Linked DNA regions of Arabidopsis thaliana. The protein of the gene in region 1 interacts with the protein of each later gene in a pairwise test. Each region holds a gene or a part of one and is shown in the gene's direction. Other genes may lie near its edges.

Region 1 (5,493 bases):
ATTTAAAAAAAGTGAAACCCATTCTATCAATGTTATGTTGAAAAACTTCATCTAATTGAGGTGTATTTTGCATGTTCATACAAAAACTCCAAAAATAAAATTGAAAATAATCGAGAATATTTAACATTGTTATGTAACTTCAATTTGTGAGAATTTATCAACGAAAATAGAGTATATATAATATGACCAAACTCATAACAGGCAAACACCACTTTACATAGTTTCCACTTTCATTTCCTCAAACCAACCGAAAGTTTTTAGAAACATAGTAGATATAGACAAAGAAGTCCATGGTAAACGTTAATTATTTAAATAACTATTAAATAATAAATTAATAAAATATTTACTTTATCAATTTGTTTGTAATTATGGTTGAAAACTTGCCCATCAAAATTTTAAATATATTTTCTTTTTCAAAATAATATCTAATTGCCTATGATAAATGATTCTAAAATAGTAAAGTATACCACCAAATCGTTCATTTATACTCTTTAGAAATGATATAACGACAGTGTATTTTCCAACCGAATGGTCGGTGTTTCCAGTGTATTTGAAAGAATTTAAGAGCGAGAAAGAAAAATTTATTAGCATCTCTTTATTTTTAATTCCTCGGAATTGGTTCGTTTGAGTTTAATTAATTCCGGTTGACAAAAAAAAAACAAATGATATAAGGAATTTGAAAAGTTAAATCCTCCGTCAACTTTCTCTTGACATCAAAAGTACATATAACATAATAATCAATAATAATGAAAAAACAACTATATCTCTAATTATAATTACTTTAATTTACTCAAATACTCATTAAATTAAGGACATGAATCATTGTTTTTAAATTTTAAAATTAAAATATCTATATTTTAAAGGTAAAAATCTTAAAATTTGGTTTGATGTTTAGCTTTTATGGAATTTTTAAGAATTGAGATTAATCCTAGCAATTCTAGCAATGTTATGTTGAAAAACTTCATCTAATCGAGGTGTATTTTGCATGTTCATACAAAAACTCCACAAATAAAATGGAAAATAATCGAGAATATTTAACATTGTTTTGTAACTTCAATTTGTGAGAACCTATCAACCAAAAAAGAGTATATAATGTGACCAAACTCATAACATGCAAACACCACTATACATAGTTTCCACTTTCATTTCCTCAAAACCAACCGAAAGTTTTTAGAAATATACTAGATATAGACGAAAGAAGTCCATGGTAAACGTTAATTATTTAAATAACAAATTAATAAAATATATACTTTATCAATTTGTTTATAATTATGGTTGAACACATGCCCATGTTAAATATATTTTGTTTTTTTTGAGTAATGCCTATGATAAATGATTCTAAAATATTAATATAAGTATACCACCAAATCGTTCATTTACAAATGATATAACGAATTTCAAAAGTTAAATCTTCCTTCAACTTTCTCTTGACATCAAAAGTACATATAACATAATAATCAATAATAATAAAAACTACTATATCTCTAATTATATATTTTCTTAAATTACTTTGATTTACTCAAATACTCTTAAATTATAAGGACATGAATCATTGTTTCTAAAATTTAAAATTAAAATATCTATATTTTAAAGGTAAAAATCTTAAAATTTAGTTTGATTGTTTAGCTTATATGTAATTTATAAGATTTGACATTTTGCACTTGTTGTCACTAATGTATAACAATGAAACCATTTTCTCATAAAAAGATAAACTATTTTTGTAGTCCTCACAAAAAAAAAAAAAAAAGCACATGCGGTTTCCTCTGCTTCTTCCTTCTTACAAGTTGGATGTCTCCGTCTTCCACGGTGCTTATAAATTAGTGAAACAACAAAAGCTTTGGTCAGTATTTATATTATCATGCATTTCTAATCTCTACTTTGTCAATTCCTATACTTTCACTCTCTTCCAATTATATAATCTCTGGTCCATAGAAAACATCGGTCTCTTGTCACCGTTGATTTTATTTGGTCAAAATCATTCTTCTTCTCGCTGAATAATCGTTGATTTCACTTCTTCTTCTGGTCTTAAAAAAATTCAAGATCTATACGAGAAAACACAAAACAAGTAAAACTTTTTCAACCGTTTTTCCTGTCGGTAAAGTTTGGATTCTTCTTAGTAAATTTTGGTCTTATTGTCGACCAAAAGAAGAAGATGGTCGTTCAGAATGTTCAAGATTTGGATGTTCTTCCGAAACATAGCTCGGATTCATTCGATGATGATGGTCGTCCCAAGCGAACCGGTAATTTCTCTTTTTTTCTCTAATTTTATGTTTTATGTTTCTCTAATCTGTTCAAACAAGAATCAAAGTAAATATAAAATTAGTCTCTGTTTCCTATAACCGGGGATTTGAACCCGAAACCCGGAATTTTTTTAATTCCGGGTTTCGGGATACAAACCGAAACCCGGAGTCTGTTGAACTTGCAATTTAAAACATCTACAGTAAATATATGCATAGGCTTTGTTTGTTAAGGGGTGACAAATTCCTACTTCTTTTTTTGTGTGGATGTTATGGAAAAGTATGATTTTTGTTACTAAAGTGTATGAACACTATTGTTACTACAGTTGTTGTCTTAAAATTAACGGTTAAACAAAACAGACTTTATTGTTACTACAGTTCTTGTCTTAAAATTCTGTTTGAATGTGATTGGTGTTTAGGGACGGTGTGGACAGCAAGTGCACACATAATAACAGCAGTAATTGGGTCAGGAGTGTTGTCATTGGCATGGGCCGTTGCTCAGATTGGTTGGATTGGTGGTCCAGTGGCTATGTTACTCTTTTCTTTCGTTACTTTTTACACATCTACCCTTCTCTGTTCTTGTTACCGATCTGGTGACTCTGTTACCGGCAAAAGAAACTACACTTACATGGACGCTATTCACTCCAACCTCGGTAAACAAAAAAAAAATCATTTCGGTTTCTTTTTGGTGCATATATTGGGATATTGAACCGAAGATCGACGGTTGAGATGACAAGGCCAAGATATAACAAAAAGATATTATTCTAGAAGATAAATGTTAATATTGAAGTTTAGAAAGTTTAACATTTATCTTTTAGAATAATATTTTCTTGCCGTATCTTGGCCTTGTCATTTCAACCGTTGATCTCTGTCGATCTCTGGTTCTCCATATCGGTTCCATATCCCAATAGTTATTATCATCAAAAACTTAATTCATTCTTGATTCATTTTTAGGTGGGATTAAGGTGAAAGTATGTGGAGTTGTGCAATATGTTAATCTATTTGGTACAGCAATTGGATATACAATTGCATCAGCTATAAGTTTGGTGTAAGTTAAAACTTTGCTTTCACAAAACTCTTTTTATTTTAATTGTTCACATTTGTCCAAAAAAAGTTAGATGCGTGTTTTATTTTGCTATTCAATATTGTCCATACAAGTCATTAATGTTTGGCTCAATAATGCAGTGTTTTAGTCAATGTAGTCTTGTTTTGTGCCATTAAAGATTCGAAAGAACGGCTCTATTATTGTTTGACTTGTTAACTAATTTTCTTGAATAAAAAATTTACAGAGCAATCCAAAGGACAAGTTGCCAACAGATGAATGGACCAAATGATCCTTGTCATGTTAATGGAAATGTTTACATGATTGCGTTTGGTATTGTACAAATCATATTCTCTCAGATTCCTGATTTTGATCAGTTATGGTGGCTTTCCATTGTCGCTGCGGTCATGTCTTTTGCTTATTCTGCCATTGGACTTGGCCTTGGTGTCTCTAAAGTGGTAGAGAACAAAGAAATTAAAGGTAGTCTCACTGGAGTCACTGTTGGGACAGTGACACTGAGTGGGACAGTGACATCGTCGCAGAAAATATGGAGAACATTTCAGTCTCTTGGCAACATTGCGTTTGCGTACTCTTACTCGATGATTCTCATCGAAATTCAGGTATTTTTGTTACGCGAGTTTTTTTTTTTTTGAAAATAATGTTAAGTTAGATTCAAAAGAAAAATAACGTTGTTACAACTAGTGCATCGTTTGGTTTATTTGTTAAGCGAGTTTGTGTGATAAGAGTTTGTTTAAAGGATGTTTTAATCAACTAGACGATTTGATGATCCAGGACACGGTGAAATCACCGCCTGCCGAAGTAAACACGATGAGAAAAGCGACTTTTGTAAGTGTGGCAGTGACTACAGTCTTCTACATGCTATGTGGCTGTGTAGGGTATGCAGCATTTGGGGATAACGCACCCGGAAATCTCCTCGCTCATGGAGGGTTTAGAAACCCATATTGGTTGCTTGACATTGCTAATCTCGCTATAGTGATCCATCTAGTCGGTGCTTACCAAGTCTATTGCCAACCCCTCTTTGCCTTCGTCGAGAAGGAAGCCTCTAGGAGGTTTCCAGAGAGCGAATTCGTCACAAAAGAGATCAAGATCCAACTCTTCCCGGGGAAGCCCTTTAACTTGAATCTCTTCAGGCTCGTATGGAGGACGTTCTTCGTGATGACAACAACGTTGATCTCAATGTTAATGCCTTTCTTTAACGATGTAGTCGGTCTCTTGGGGGCCATTGGTTTTTGGCCTTTAACGGTTTATTTCCCAGTGGAAATGTACATTGCACAGAAGAATGTTCCGAGATGGGGCACAAAGTGGGTTTGTCTACAAGTCTTGAGTGTGACATGTCTTTTTGTGTCCGTAGCCGCGGCCGCGGGATCTGTTATTGGCATTGTTAGTGATCTCAAGGTCTACAAACCTTTCCAGTCTGAATTCTGAGATCATACGGGAAAAATAAACTCCTGCTAAAAGGGTTAAGATTAGAATTGAATGTTTTAATGTCATATTTGTATTAGTTAACTTTGTGTAAGTGTTCAATTATAAATCATGTTTCTACCGAGAATTCTTACAACATTGAACTATCAATGATTAAAAGTAGTCATGTATAAGGATAGCTTTTTCGACACTTGAGGTAGTAGAGATGTATTAAACATTTAATACTTATAATTAATTTTAGAAGTCTATAAACCAAAGGAGCTACAAGATGTTTTGTGTTTATCTCCAAAATTCTTCAAATTCTTAAATCGTTTATCTTCTTGTAAACACTCTCCAAAACTAAAGATCCCCTAGATAAAATTGAGCTAACAATGCCTAATGAAGCCATACAAATAAGATAATCAATGTTTACCTTGACAAAACAATAATTAAAATTTAACAAAAGCAAATCGAGAATAATGATATGACACTGAAAATATTCTGATCTTTCTTTTACAAAGCAATCGATGAATTCTCAGTTAGTTACACAATAAATAACATTAGTTACATTCAAAAGCTATACAATCAAATGAGTGAAAGTACTTAAGAATAATATCACATGCTTGGTGTCTTTTTGATACCTCAACTCTTTTGTTTTATATATACTCAAGAACTTTAATAATATAAAAAATAACTCAACCAATGATGATATAGTTTTAATTTCCTAAACTACAAGTGCAAAGCAATCAAAGTAGTATTAGGGTCGATCGGTAAAGAATTTAGAGTAACGCA
Region 2 (5,729 bases), 6.6 Mb from region 1:
TTCGCAACCAAAGAATAGCTATGAAACAAATAAGCAAGATTTCACAAACATAAAGAGCTTACAAAATTTCAAAACTAATGGGCTTTACTAGCAAATATAATGGGCTTTTTAATAAACCTTTTTTTAATAAGCCTATTAATAAAGATGGGCAAAATGTGTTTCTTTTTGTATCAAAATGTTGTCTAATTTTACTGATAAATAAGAATAAGAAATAGGGTAAATATTTGGAAACTATTTAGAAATACATTTTAATCTAATGGTAATGATTAATTCAAGATGTATATAATTTCTAGTATCTTTTCCCTAATAATTGATATTTTTCATTCATTAACACTAGGACCTTTTAGGTTTAACATCTTAAAACTCTATCTTAAGATGTTTAGATAAGTATTTGGGTTGTAATGATTTTCTAGGAAACACTAAAATAGTATGAACATAATCTAGTTAATCACTAGACTAAAAATCAAATCTGAATCTATGTACAAAATCTAAACTATACACATAAAAGTAGATATTAACATATATATTAATGAATAATATATAATTATATATAGATACACTTAGCACAAATATACACATATATTTATTTTGGATTGTTATCATGTGCTCTGTAAGAAATCATGCTACAATATACAGATGATATAACAGGATAAGAGCTATATTAATAGAGAACTTTGCATAAAAGTCGTTATCCAAAAAAAGAAAATAAACTTTGCATGAAAGCTAAACCAAATGCAAATAAGAAAATAATTGTATCTTAAAAGGATTGTTCTTAAACGATATAAAGGTACATAATTCCCTCCCACGTTAACCATTCATTGTGCATTGTGGAATTCCATTTGTATAATTAGTTTTGAATTAGATCATTCATTTCCTTTGAGTTTGATGAATAAAAAGTAAGAAAAAAACACTAAGCTTGGGAGGGTGGCTTAATTAAGCGTGTACACATAAACTATACTTTGTTAAAAAAAAATTGGGAGGTTGATTATGACTTATGAGCGAATAAAGCACTTTTGCGATAGTTATTGAACTTGCTAATCAAGTTGTTAAACGTGTGTATATATATAGGATGTGCATCATCACAATTCTCTCTAGCTAGCTCTTATTCGTATTATATAAAAAACTCAATAACTCTTTTTTGTTTTTGGTTCTTAAGATGCAATCTATTTATACAGAGATAAACACCAAAGCCAAGAAAGCAAGGACGAATGTAGACTATTTCTATACAGCTTACATGAAAGCCACTAACACAGATTTGGGAGACGAAGCGTTTAAAGCCGTGACAAACCCGATCCTTTCACAAATGGAGGAAATCATCAACACAGCTAAACATGTTGCATATCGCGTGGGAGTTATACGAAGTACAAATTCAGATCCTAATTTTCTTCGAGATCTTGACGAGGTAGACAAGATGGGGGATGATGTCTTTGAGAAATCAAAAACTGCCCTAGACATAATGCGAAAAGCGGTTGTTGATGCAAAGGAAAGGAAGAAAGCTAGAGATGAAGCAATAAAGGAAGAAGAAGAAGCAAGGAAAGAGGAAGTAAAGAAGAAAGCAAAGAACGAAGCAGGAGAGAGCAGTTCACACAACGTACCAACGTAATTAAGTAAACATAAAAAGTTAATAAGCACATAAGTATTTAACGAAGCATAATATATGTATTTAGTGTTCTCTTCAAAATTACAACAAGATAAAAAAGTAAATATATGATTATTCTTCATATGATATTTTACATTGGAAAAATGTTTATCACACAAACACGAAACCGAAATGCATCAAACAAAAACCGAACCGAACCGATATAGAGTTACATTAATCAAACCGAATTATAAATGGATCATAAACCGAAAAAATCAAACCGGAACCAAACCTTAACAAGATCATATCAAATACGTCGTCGTTTCATCTGAGTCGTCTCTCTTCACTCGCCGGAGAGAGAGAAGAAGAAAAGACGACGGAGAAATGGCGGAGGAGCAGAAAATGAAGCAGCTAAGCCGATTCTGGATTTGGGCTTTATCTTCCATTGCTTTCCGATTGATCTTGATCTCCTTCCCGGGAAATCTCAATCTCTCTTCCCGTCCGGAGGTCTCTACCCCTCTCACCAGCATTCGCCGCCGTATCTCCTCTCTCTTTCTCACTCCCTCATTAGCTCTCTAAGATCTCGAATTCAGCTCACATTTCTTCGTTTTGTATGAACATTTTCAGTTGCTGAAGGTTATTGGTTGAAGCAGGCATCGATGTCACCATATGCAGGTCTATCTTAAGATTTGATCCTCTGTAAATTTGGATTCTTAGGCTATTAGAAGCTGAAGTTGTACATATTTGAGCAGGATCTATGTATCATGGCTCACCATTGCTGCTCTCGGTTCTTGGACCTCTCACAGTTCAAAGGTAGTGACTAATCGATTTTGATATTAGGATTTGTGATTTATTGAGCTTGAATCATATGAAAACATGATTTTTTCCCACTTGAGTTTTATTGGAAGACAATTTGTGTGTTTGCAGGATTAAAGGGCAACCAAGTCACCTCTTGTGCAGGTACTTTTCAGTGTCCCTTCATTTCTGTGATCACATGTTTTTTCTTTCTTCTCAGATTTGAGCTAGCTTAAAATCTTAGGTAGGATTAGATTGTGAGATGTGAATTTGGAAAAGAGATGATCTTTGAATGATTTACTATTCATCAAGAGCTTTATAGTCATGTCGTTGCTACCAACATTCTCTTGGATACAGCTTGGTTTTTGTTATTGCAGATATATTAAGTGCAATGCTTCTTCGAGCTATTGGTCAGAAACTCCAGATGGCTTATGGACTGAATGCGAGACTACTTGGTTTTCTTAAGTCATCAAGGGATAAAGGTAGATTGAAGTCAGTTGTTGAATTTTGTGTATCATCTATCTTATTTCTACTCTTTTCTTGTAACTATTTACTTGAAGGCAAATATTGATCTCTCCTTTTTCGTTGTCTCCTCAGTGATCCTACCTTGTGGTGATATTGCTGCTCTTGTGTATTTGTGGAATCCTTTCACGATAGTTTCTTGTGTGGGCTTATCAACTTCTCCCATCGAAAACCTGGCTGTCATATTGGCGCTTTTTGGAGCAGTTACACGTAAGAAGATGATGATACTTGCATATTGTTTGTTCAATAGTTTCTTGAAATTTTATAACTGATGTTTTCTACCCATGCAGGACGAGTTCCTCTGGCAGCATTTGGCTTAGTCATTGCCACACATTTATCTCTTTATCCTGCTACTCTGACAATTCCAGTATGTATCATTTCTTATTTTATGTTTTTCACGTTTCTCAAATTAAACAAATTCTAACTGCTCGTGCATTTCCCACAGATAATCTTTCTATTGGGATATGGTTTGGATGCTCCTCCTATAAAATTGTTCCTTCAGACCAGAAGTGTAGAAAATGAGGAGAGTTCAACCTCTACTGTTTCTAAACAAGCCAAGTTGAAACAGACTACGCACCTTCCTTTCTTATGGAAAACAGTCGCACACTTCTTGTTCTGGGTACTTCTGTGGTCACTCTATGTGTTGATTTTATGTGCCTTATCACTGAATAAATATGGTGGGCTTGAGGAGATGTTCAAGAGGTAGCCTCTAACTTAGAAATCTTATTCATAACCGCTATAGGATTAGTTTCCGTTAGCCATATTATATCTATAACTTATATTCCAAATCATATAATTATTTATTAAGAACTTGCAACGTAGTGTTTAGGCGATTTGATGTTTGTTTGTCTTTGCCTCCTATTGTAGGACGTATGGTTTCATTCTTAGTATTGAAGATCTTTCACCAAACATTGGAGTCTTTTGGTAAGTAAAATAAATTAATATGGTGATATCATTGGGTGATGAATAAGGGATCCCTTCTTTTATGAAAAGACTATTTACTGTTCGTTTTAAATCTCGTTTTCAGGTACTTCTTTGCAGAAGTATTCGACTTCTTCAGAAACTTTTTTCTGATAGTTTTACACGTAAATATTCTGTTCATGTTACTGCCCTTAGCCATAAGGTTGAAACATCGGCCATGTTTCCTGGCTTTCATATACTTAGCGATCTCCTCGATTCTTAAATCTTATCCTTCAGTAAGTAGTTGAATTCACTGTGAACTTGAAGTTATCTTTTCTTCTTTGAGGAATTATATTCATAAATGTTAACAATGCTTTCATCATTTGATTTACTCTCAATAGGTCGGAGATTCGGCGTTATACTTGAGCTTATGGGCATTGTTTGTCAATGAGTTATTAGGTAAAAGCAAATACTTCACATCCTCTTAGCATTGTTTAGCCTTTGCATATAAACTCTGCTTCTGTTTCACATAGATATGAAGTTCTCGTTCTTCCTCTTCTGTGGATATCTCGGGATCTCTCTCCTCAGCCCTGTGATGCACAATCTCTGGATATGGCGGGTAAGCTTCTACTCAAATCCATAACCCAACTCTTCACAGCAGTTGCAACAAAATGTTCTAATGATCACAACTACCTTTGATTTTTTCATGACAGGGAACCGGAAATGCAAATTTCTACTTTGGAAACGCTATCGGCTACGCGTGCTTTCAGGTAAAATATAGGCCTGGATCCATTTCAAAATTCATTATTCTATTCAGTAGTTGGGAGTTGATACTCATATAGTACAAAATTTGATGATATCAAGCAGAGGATGATGAGATCATCAGTTATTGATCAAAGAATGTTGTAGTTTTGGGTTATCTTGACTAAAACCCGCATACGGGTTTCTGCTTTTCTTTACAGATCGTTTTCGTGGTTGAGAGCGTAAGCGCAATGCTAAACCATGACAGGGCGCTGAAGAGATCAAACTCAAACCATCGAGAAGTCAAGAGCTAAGCCATTGAAGGTCATTGCGCCACTTTTCTGTTACACGTAAAGAAAAGAGTTGGGTCTTTAGCTTAAAGTTGGCAACATGTGATTTGTGTGAGTAGCTTTTCTTTGTTTGAGAACATCATATAAATAACAAATCTCCTGTGCCTTTCCGTTTAGAGTAACCATTAATTTGTACTTTTTACCGAGAGGTTTTAAAGTTCTTGTTTTGATCCGCAAAGCACACAATCATCCCTATATTTGAAGTTACATCGCATGTATACAAGGTATTATCATTTGTGAATGGTGGATGATTAAAGGCATTGTCTATGTCCCGTACTTTATCCTTATCCACTGCACCATTAAGGCCTAAATGACACAGTGCAGGAAGGTTATTGGGTGGTGTTTGGTCATTGTTTTCTTAAAAGTCACCCATTCACAATAAATGAAGTGTGATGCATTATTAATTTATTTGTAATATCATAAAAACTTGTAAAACCCACGTGGTACCAAAAACAAAAATCAGACCCTAACCGTATAACTGTATTTCACACTGTTGAAAATATATGTTCAATTCGATCTTGTGACATCTGAAATCTCCTAAAAATTATGCATATATTGCATGAAGCTGATGTATGCATGATTGCATATCTTGGTATTATATATTGTATTGATGGCGTGTGGTGATGGAATTTCATGGCGTTTGGTGATGGAATGCGGTTGTGTATCGGAGCTGACTTCAGCAAAGTTCAAACTTCAAACTGCAGTTTTCCTTCATAGCTCAGTCACAAAATACAGTTTGAAACTACTCCTTTTTCATCTGTTAAGTTAAGACAACTAATGGTTCTTGATTTTGTAATTTTGTTTCTTGGATTTCATCAGATGGGAAGAAACTAGTGGAGGAA
Region 3 (5,089 bases), about 12 Mb from region 1:
ATTCATAAATAAAGAAGTCAGCTGATGAAGATTATACAACAATCTTTGTCATAAACTACGTAAAGATAATGAAGTAGCTAGTCCTGTATATATTATCTTATGTTTCCTGGTACTAGTTCTGGTGCGACTGCTAAAATCTAAATTGTCGTCTTTAGATTAACATTTGTTTTTTTTTTCTCTCTATGAAAGTACTAAATTTTCATAGGATAAGCCATTCAAAATATCAATTACAGTGACTATTGAGTATTGACTAATATTATTTGAACTCACAACTCACCTACATGTATTAATGTTTGCATTATTTTAGTGATTGCTAAAACACATAAGTGTCACATGACATATATATCATTGTTTAGGCTAAACATATTATATATATGGTCTATATTATAGATATCGATCCAAGTCTATTAGCCAATCCAACACTAAAACAATCCTCTTGTAAATGAGTAGCTCATGACGACATTATTCTGTTTCATTTTGGAAGCATTAGCATCATTTCCACACACACGTGTTGACCTAAAAAGGCCTATATTTGTTCTATTTATAAAGCCTTAAATTAAAGACTCAAGCAATATCACATGGATCTAATATATAATCATATGTTGCATAGAAAAAAAGAACAAAAAAGAAATAGAGAGAGGTGGTTGAATGATTTAGGCTTTACATCAAACCCACTGTTTCAATAATTTTGTTAGGTGTGTGTGTGTATGTGTGAATACAGCTAGAGAGTTTCACGAAGAAGCTGGTTGGTCAAAACTTTTGACTCGAAAGGAATTGCTGACAAATCGATCAATCAATTTGCTTCAGAGAGAAAAAAAAAACACATAAACACAATTGACATCTCTCTATCTATACGGTCCGATACTAGACTTGGCGAACCAAACTAAAGATACAGTAGGACACTGTGACTGTCTAGGACCACCAGAGATATTCAGTGAAGTTTCTATAGTCATCATAAGTCAATCTTGCTGACTACATCATACTAATAGGAACTATAGTCGTAAGGAACATATATACCACATTAAGCTTGTTTCTTTTGATTAACTCCTCAAGTTGTTTTCAAAATACTCGACGAACTAGACTGAATCAGCAATAAGACCAAACATGTAAAATAAACGTTGCAGAAGTTAATGCTCATTAGTTTTCTCTTTTGTAAGAACATACAAACACACAGGTGACAAGTTTTGGCCAAGAATTACAAAATAATATGATACCTTCATAGTCATACCTCAGAATTAATGTCCTAGTCGAGAAGCAGAAGTTTGTTTTTATAGATCTTTCTTTTCATTAGAGAAATGGGTATCGGCCCAATAACATAGGCCAACCCATTTGCATTTATTTTCTCATATCCAGTAAGGATATACTTTCAAATTTTTGTATAAATGGGATTTTGATTTTTCTTTAATATGTTGAACGAATTTAGTAAACTATTCACATTATTTTATGTTCAGAACTATACTGTAAAATAACTAACGGTCAACAATAATTGAGAGAATTTGGAAGTTTTCGTTAGACTCACATCAATAATGTGACTCAAAGCTAATAATTGCAATTTCCGACAAATTTGTGGCATGGGCGTTTATGCTGTCTTCTACTCTTCTTGTATGACAACGCACATACCCGAGCTTCGTAAATTTTATTTCTATTTTTTTCAAGTATATTTTGTTTTTAAAATGCGATTTTAGAAAGAATTTGTGTGATCAGAATTCACGGTGTAATAATAGTTTGTATGCATACTGTTGTTTGATGTGTCATAATCCAAATTTAGATAATATGTTTATGTATAATGTTAGAAATAAAAATGTAGTAGAAATTTACGTATATTTTCACTGATAATAGAAATTTTCAAATATCCTTAAACTGTCAATATCCAATTTCTTTATGTTTAAAATATTTCAACAGCTAATTTTCAACCGCTATTTATTTTATTTAAATTTATCTTGTCATTATATTTCGTTATTGATAAATATCTGAAAAAGTGGGTGACAAAAAAATTACCGATTCAAATTATTGTAATAAAATTGACAAATCAAAAGATTGAAATAGAAAACAAAAATGGACTACATTTCTCAAAATGGCAAATAATTTTTATTCATATTTATCAACCTCGAAATGACCTACATATATAGAGACACAAAGATCACAACAAAATCAACCATTCCTTTCCTTATCTTCTTCCTCTTTTGCTTTTCTAATCTCTCAATGGCTACCTTAAAACACAAACCTGTAAATTTGGTATTTTACGTTTATAATTTGATTATTATATTCTCCTCCCATAGTTCCACGGCGGAGCTCCGCAGGCTACTGCAGCCATCAAAAACCGATGGTACAGTGAGCTTTCTCGTTATCGGAGACTGGGGAAGAAGAGGCTCCTATAATCAGTCCCAAGTAGCTCTTCAGGTTACTTCTTATTTTCATTTACAAGTTATTTACTATATTTCTCGCCTGTACGCATATATATAAATATATAATGCAAATTCAATAGTGTATAATTAATACGTATTACGTAAACATATATATGCGTATGCCTTCAAGAGCATACGTGATATGAGGATCAAATTTACTGGTCTTCATATTAATGCCGGCCCTTATGTTTTTATATTATTCTTTTTTTTTCTTTTTTTTATTATTATTATTCAATTTCAATATATATTACTAATTCTTGAACACCATGTTATAAGATACCATAAAAAGAAAGAAAGTCATGTTAGAGGAACTTGAAAGATTCGGTCTGTGTTAAGAAAACAGCTTTAGTGTACGAAGATATTCTACATATGATTTTTGTTTGTACTGTTGTTTTGCAGATGAACTCAATGTGGTAAATTTTATGCTAGTTTGATGTTTTCTTTTATACTGTTGTTTTTAGTTATTTTATGCTAAATTATTTCACACGAAATTTAAACAGATGGGAGAAATCGGAGAGAAATTAGATATCGATTTTGTGATTTCTACTGGAGATAATTTTTACGACAATGGTTTAACCAGCTTGCACGATCCTCTATTTCAAGATTCTTTTACCAACATTTATACCGCTCCGAGCTTGCAGAAACCTTGGTATAGTGGTAAATGTGTGGTTCAATGTGTACATTCGTCGTTGGATCTTAATTATTAAACGATATGTGGTTCAATGTGTTAATTACATTTTCTTTAACCTAAAGTTTTAGGAAATCATGATTATAGAGGTGACGTCAGGGCACAACTTAGCCCTATGCTCAGAGCTCTGGACAACAGATGGGTTTGCATGAGATCTTTCATTGTAAATGCTGGTAATTCCTCCTATATAATATTTCTTCAAAAGTTAGAAATATTTTATTAATCCTCCAATTATTTTTTTATTTTTGTTAATTTCGTTAACTGAACAGAGATCGTCGATTTGTTCTTCGTCGACACAACTCCGTTCGTCGATAAATACTTTATTCAACCAAATAAGCATGTTTATGACTGGAGCGGTGTATTACCTAGGCAAACATATCTGAATAATCTCTTAAAGGTAACAATTTTTTAAGTAAATCTTCCTTTCTTTCTTTTTTCGTCGAAATAGAATTAATATTAACTTAGGAACGTCATTATATACGTGTTTTGGGCAAAACATTCCTTTTTCTTTTGTTATGATTGGATTTTTTTATAAAGTTATGATTGGATGTTAAACGCAGCTTTTATTTTGTCTATTTTCAAATGGAATCGCGTTTTAATTAGGTATGTAATGCGATATGATTAGAGAACAATCTGCCAATGCAACTTTTTTTCTTTTTACGAGCGAGTGACTAACGAAAGCTATAATGTAATAATATAGGAACTCGACGTGGCGTTGAGAGAGTCAGTCGCAAAGTGGAAAATAGTGATTGGTCACCATACGATCAAAAGCGCAGGCCACCACGGGAACACCATTGAGTTGGAGAAACACCTTTTACCTATTCTCCAAGTAACAAAACCATTCCATTCATATAATAAAGTTTATGCACCAATAGAAAAAATCTATCTAATTAAATCTGTTTTTTTTGTTCTCGATTTACTAGGCAAATGAAGTGGATCTCTACGTAAACGGACATGATCATTGCTTAGAGCACATAAGCAGCGTGGACAGGTAGAATAAATTTATTTATTTGTTCGTTAATTATTTTCTTATTAATCAATTATTGTAACGTAAGGGTCCACGTACGGGAGGATATAAAATGTCACCATTTTTGGTTGCATATAGTAACATACAATTTATGACAAGTGGAGGTGGATCCAAGGCCTGGAAAGGAGGTGACGTGAACTACGTTGAACCAGAAGAGATGAGGTTTTACTACGACGGACAAGGTTTCATGTCGGTTCACGTTTCAGAAGCTGAACTGCGTGTAGTCTTTTATGATGTTTTTGGACACGTTCTGCATCATTGGAAGAAGACTTACAAGGAGGCGCTTTATTTCGCTTCTTGATTCCAATTTAATCGGACGTAATTGTTTATGATCGATGTACTATGAAATTATCAATATCGTACTTCGTCGAATTTTCGAATCACATTATGATATGACAAGAACATATCAGCAGCATCAGAAAAAAAAGTCAATGAAATCTTTATTGCGTAAAAGTACAGTTTCAAACAAGATATTATTGAAAATTTGTAAGATGTGAGATTAACTAGAAATACTGCATGCATATACTGTATATACATATCGAATCTAAGCATATTAAAATGTAAATATCATCCTCTCTTACGCTTCCATATTAATTAAGTTAATTAATTTTCGTTATTCTTATCCAATTTGATTAACAAGTTTTCCCGAAGCATGCGTGCATACAGTACTCTTGTGTAGTTTGTAGGGACACAAAATGGGTCCGATTCTCATCTATAAAGATAGATAATGATTTTGTTACATGTCTTTTGTCCTGTGCTCAGATTCTCTTCAATCATGTAATATATATAGATAAGTTATAGTGAATTATGGATTATATGATAAGATAAATGATATACAACTCTATGTTGTGGATGAGATTCTGTCACATAATTTCACAAGCCCCGGATCTCTCATATTTGATCGCAAGAACACTTTTGCTCATACCAAAATTATCTCCCAAAAGAAATATAATAGTCATTCTATTAAGG

What was found. The genes of interacting proteins can lie anywhere in the genome.
Region 2: the proteins of AAP5 (region 1) and AT1G63110 interact in a protein complementation assay, tested with the Arabidopsis thaliana proteins (one large-scale study listed by BioGRID).
Region 3: the proteins of AAP5 (region 1) and PAP3 interact in a protein complementation assay, tested with the Arabidopsis thaliana proteins (one large-scale study listed by BioGRID).

What each region holds. Positions count from the first base shown.
Region 1 is NC_003070.9:16,763,883-16,769,375, reverse strand, and holds AAP5 (amino acid permease 5), read left to right. Parts: upstream 1-1,690; 5' UTR 1,691-2,152; coding exon 2,153-2,240; intron 2,241-2,656; coding exon 2,657-2,890; intron 2,891-2,937; exon of another isoform or gene 2,938-3,117; intron 3,118-3,191; coding exon 3,192-3,285; intron 3,286-3,526; coding exon 3,527-3,899; intron 3,900-4,071; coding exon 4,072-4,725; 3' UTR 4,726-4,984; downstream 4,985-5,493. UniProt on the Arabidopsis thaliana protein: Amino acid-proton symporter. Stereospecific transporter with a broad specificity for glutamate and both neutral and basic amino acids. Reduced affinities for asparagine and valine.
Region 2 is NC_003070.9:23,402,907-23,408,635, forward strand, and holds AT1G63110 (GPI transamidase subunit PIG-U), read left to right. Parts: upstream 1-1,781; 5' UTR 1,782-1,963; coding exon 1,964-2,117; exon of another isoform or gene 2,118-2,206; coding exon 2,207-2,254; intron 2,255-2,331; coding exon 2,332-2,392; intron 2,393-2,506; coding exon 2,507-2,539; intron 2,540-2,731; coding exon 2,732-2,856; intron 2,857-2,971; coding exon 2,972-3,106; intron 3,107-3,186; coding exon 3,187-3,263; intron 3,264-3,341; coding exon 3,342-3,598; intron 3,599-3,763; coding exon 3,764-3,820; intron 3,821-3,923; coding exon 3,924-4,092; intron 4,093-4,197; coding exon 4,198-4,255; intron 4,256-4,329; coding exon 4,330-4,415; intron 4,416-4,509; coding exon 4,510-4,566; intron 4,567-4,758; coding exon 4,759-4,851; 3' UTR 4,852-5,213; downstream 5,214-5,729. Other genes in the region: AT1G63105 (uncharacterized protein), read left to right, coding at 1,235-1,603.
Region 3 is NC_003070.9:5,056,568-5,061,656, forward strand, and holds PAP3 (purple acid phosphatase 3), read left to right. Parts: upstream 1-2,015; 5' UTR 2,016-2,112; coding exon 2,113-2,400; exon of another isoform or gene 2,401-2,818; intron 2,819-2,905; coding exon 2,906-3,062; intron 3,063-3,158; coding exon 3,159-3,266; intron 3,267-3,362; coding exon 3,363-3,490; intron 3,491-3,793; coding exon 3,794-3,922; intron 3,923-4,016; coding exon 4,017-4,084; coding exon of another isoform or gene 4,085-4,088; exon of another isoform or gene 4,089-4,198; coding exon 4,199-4,421; 3' UTR 4,422-4,573; downstream 4,574-5,089.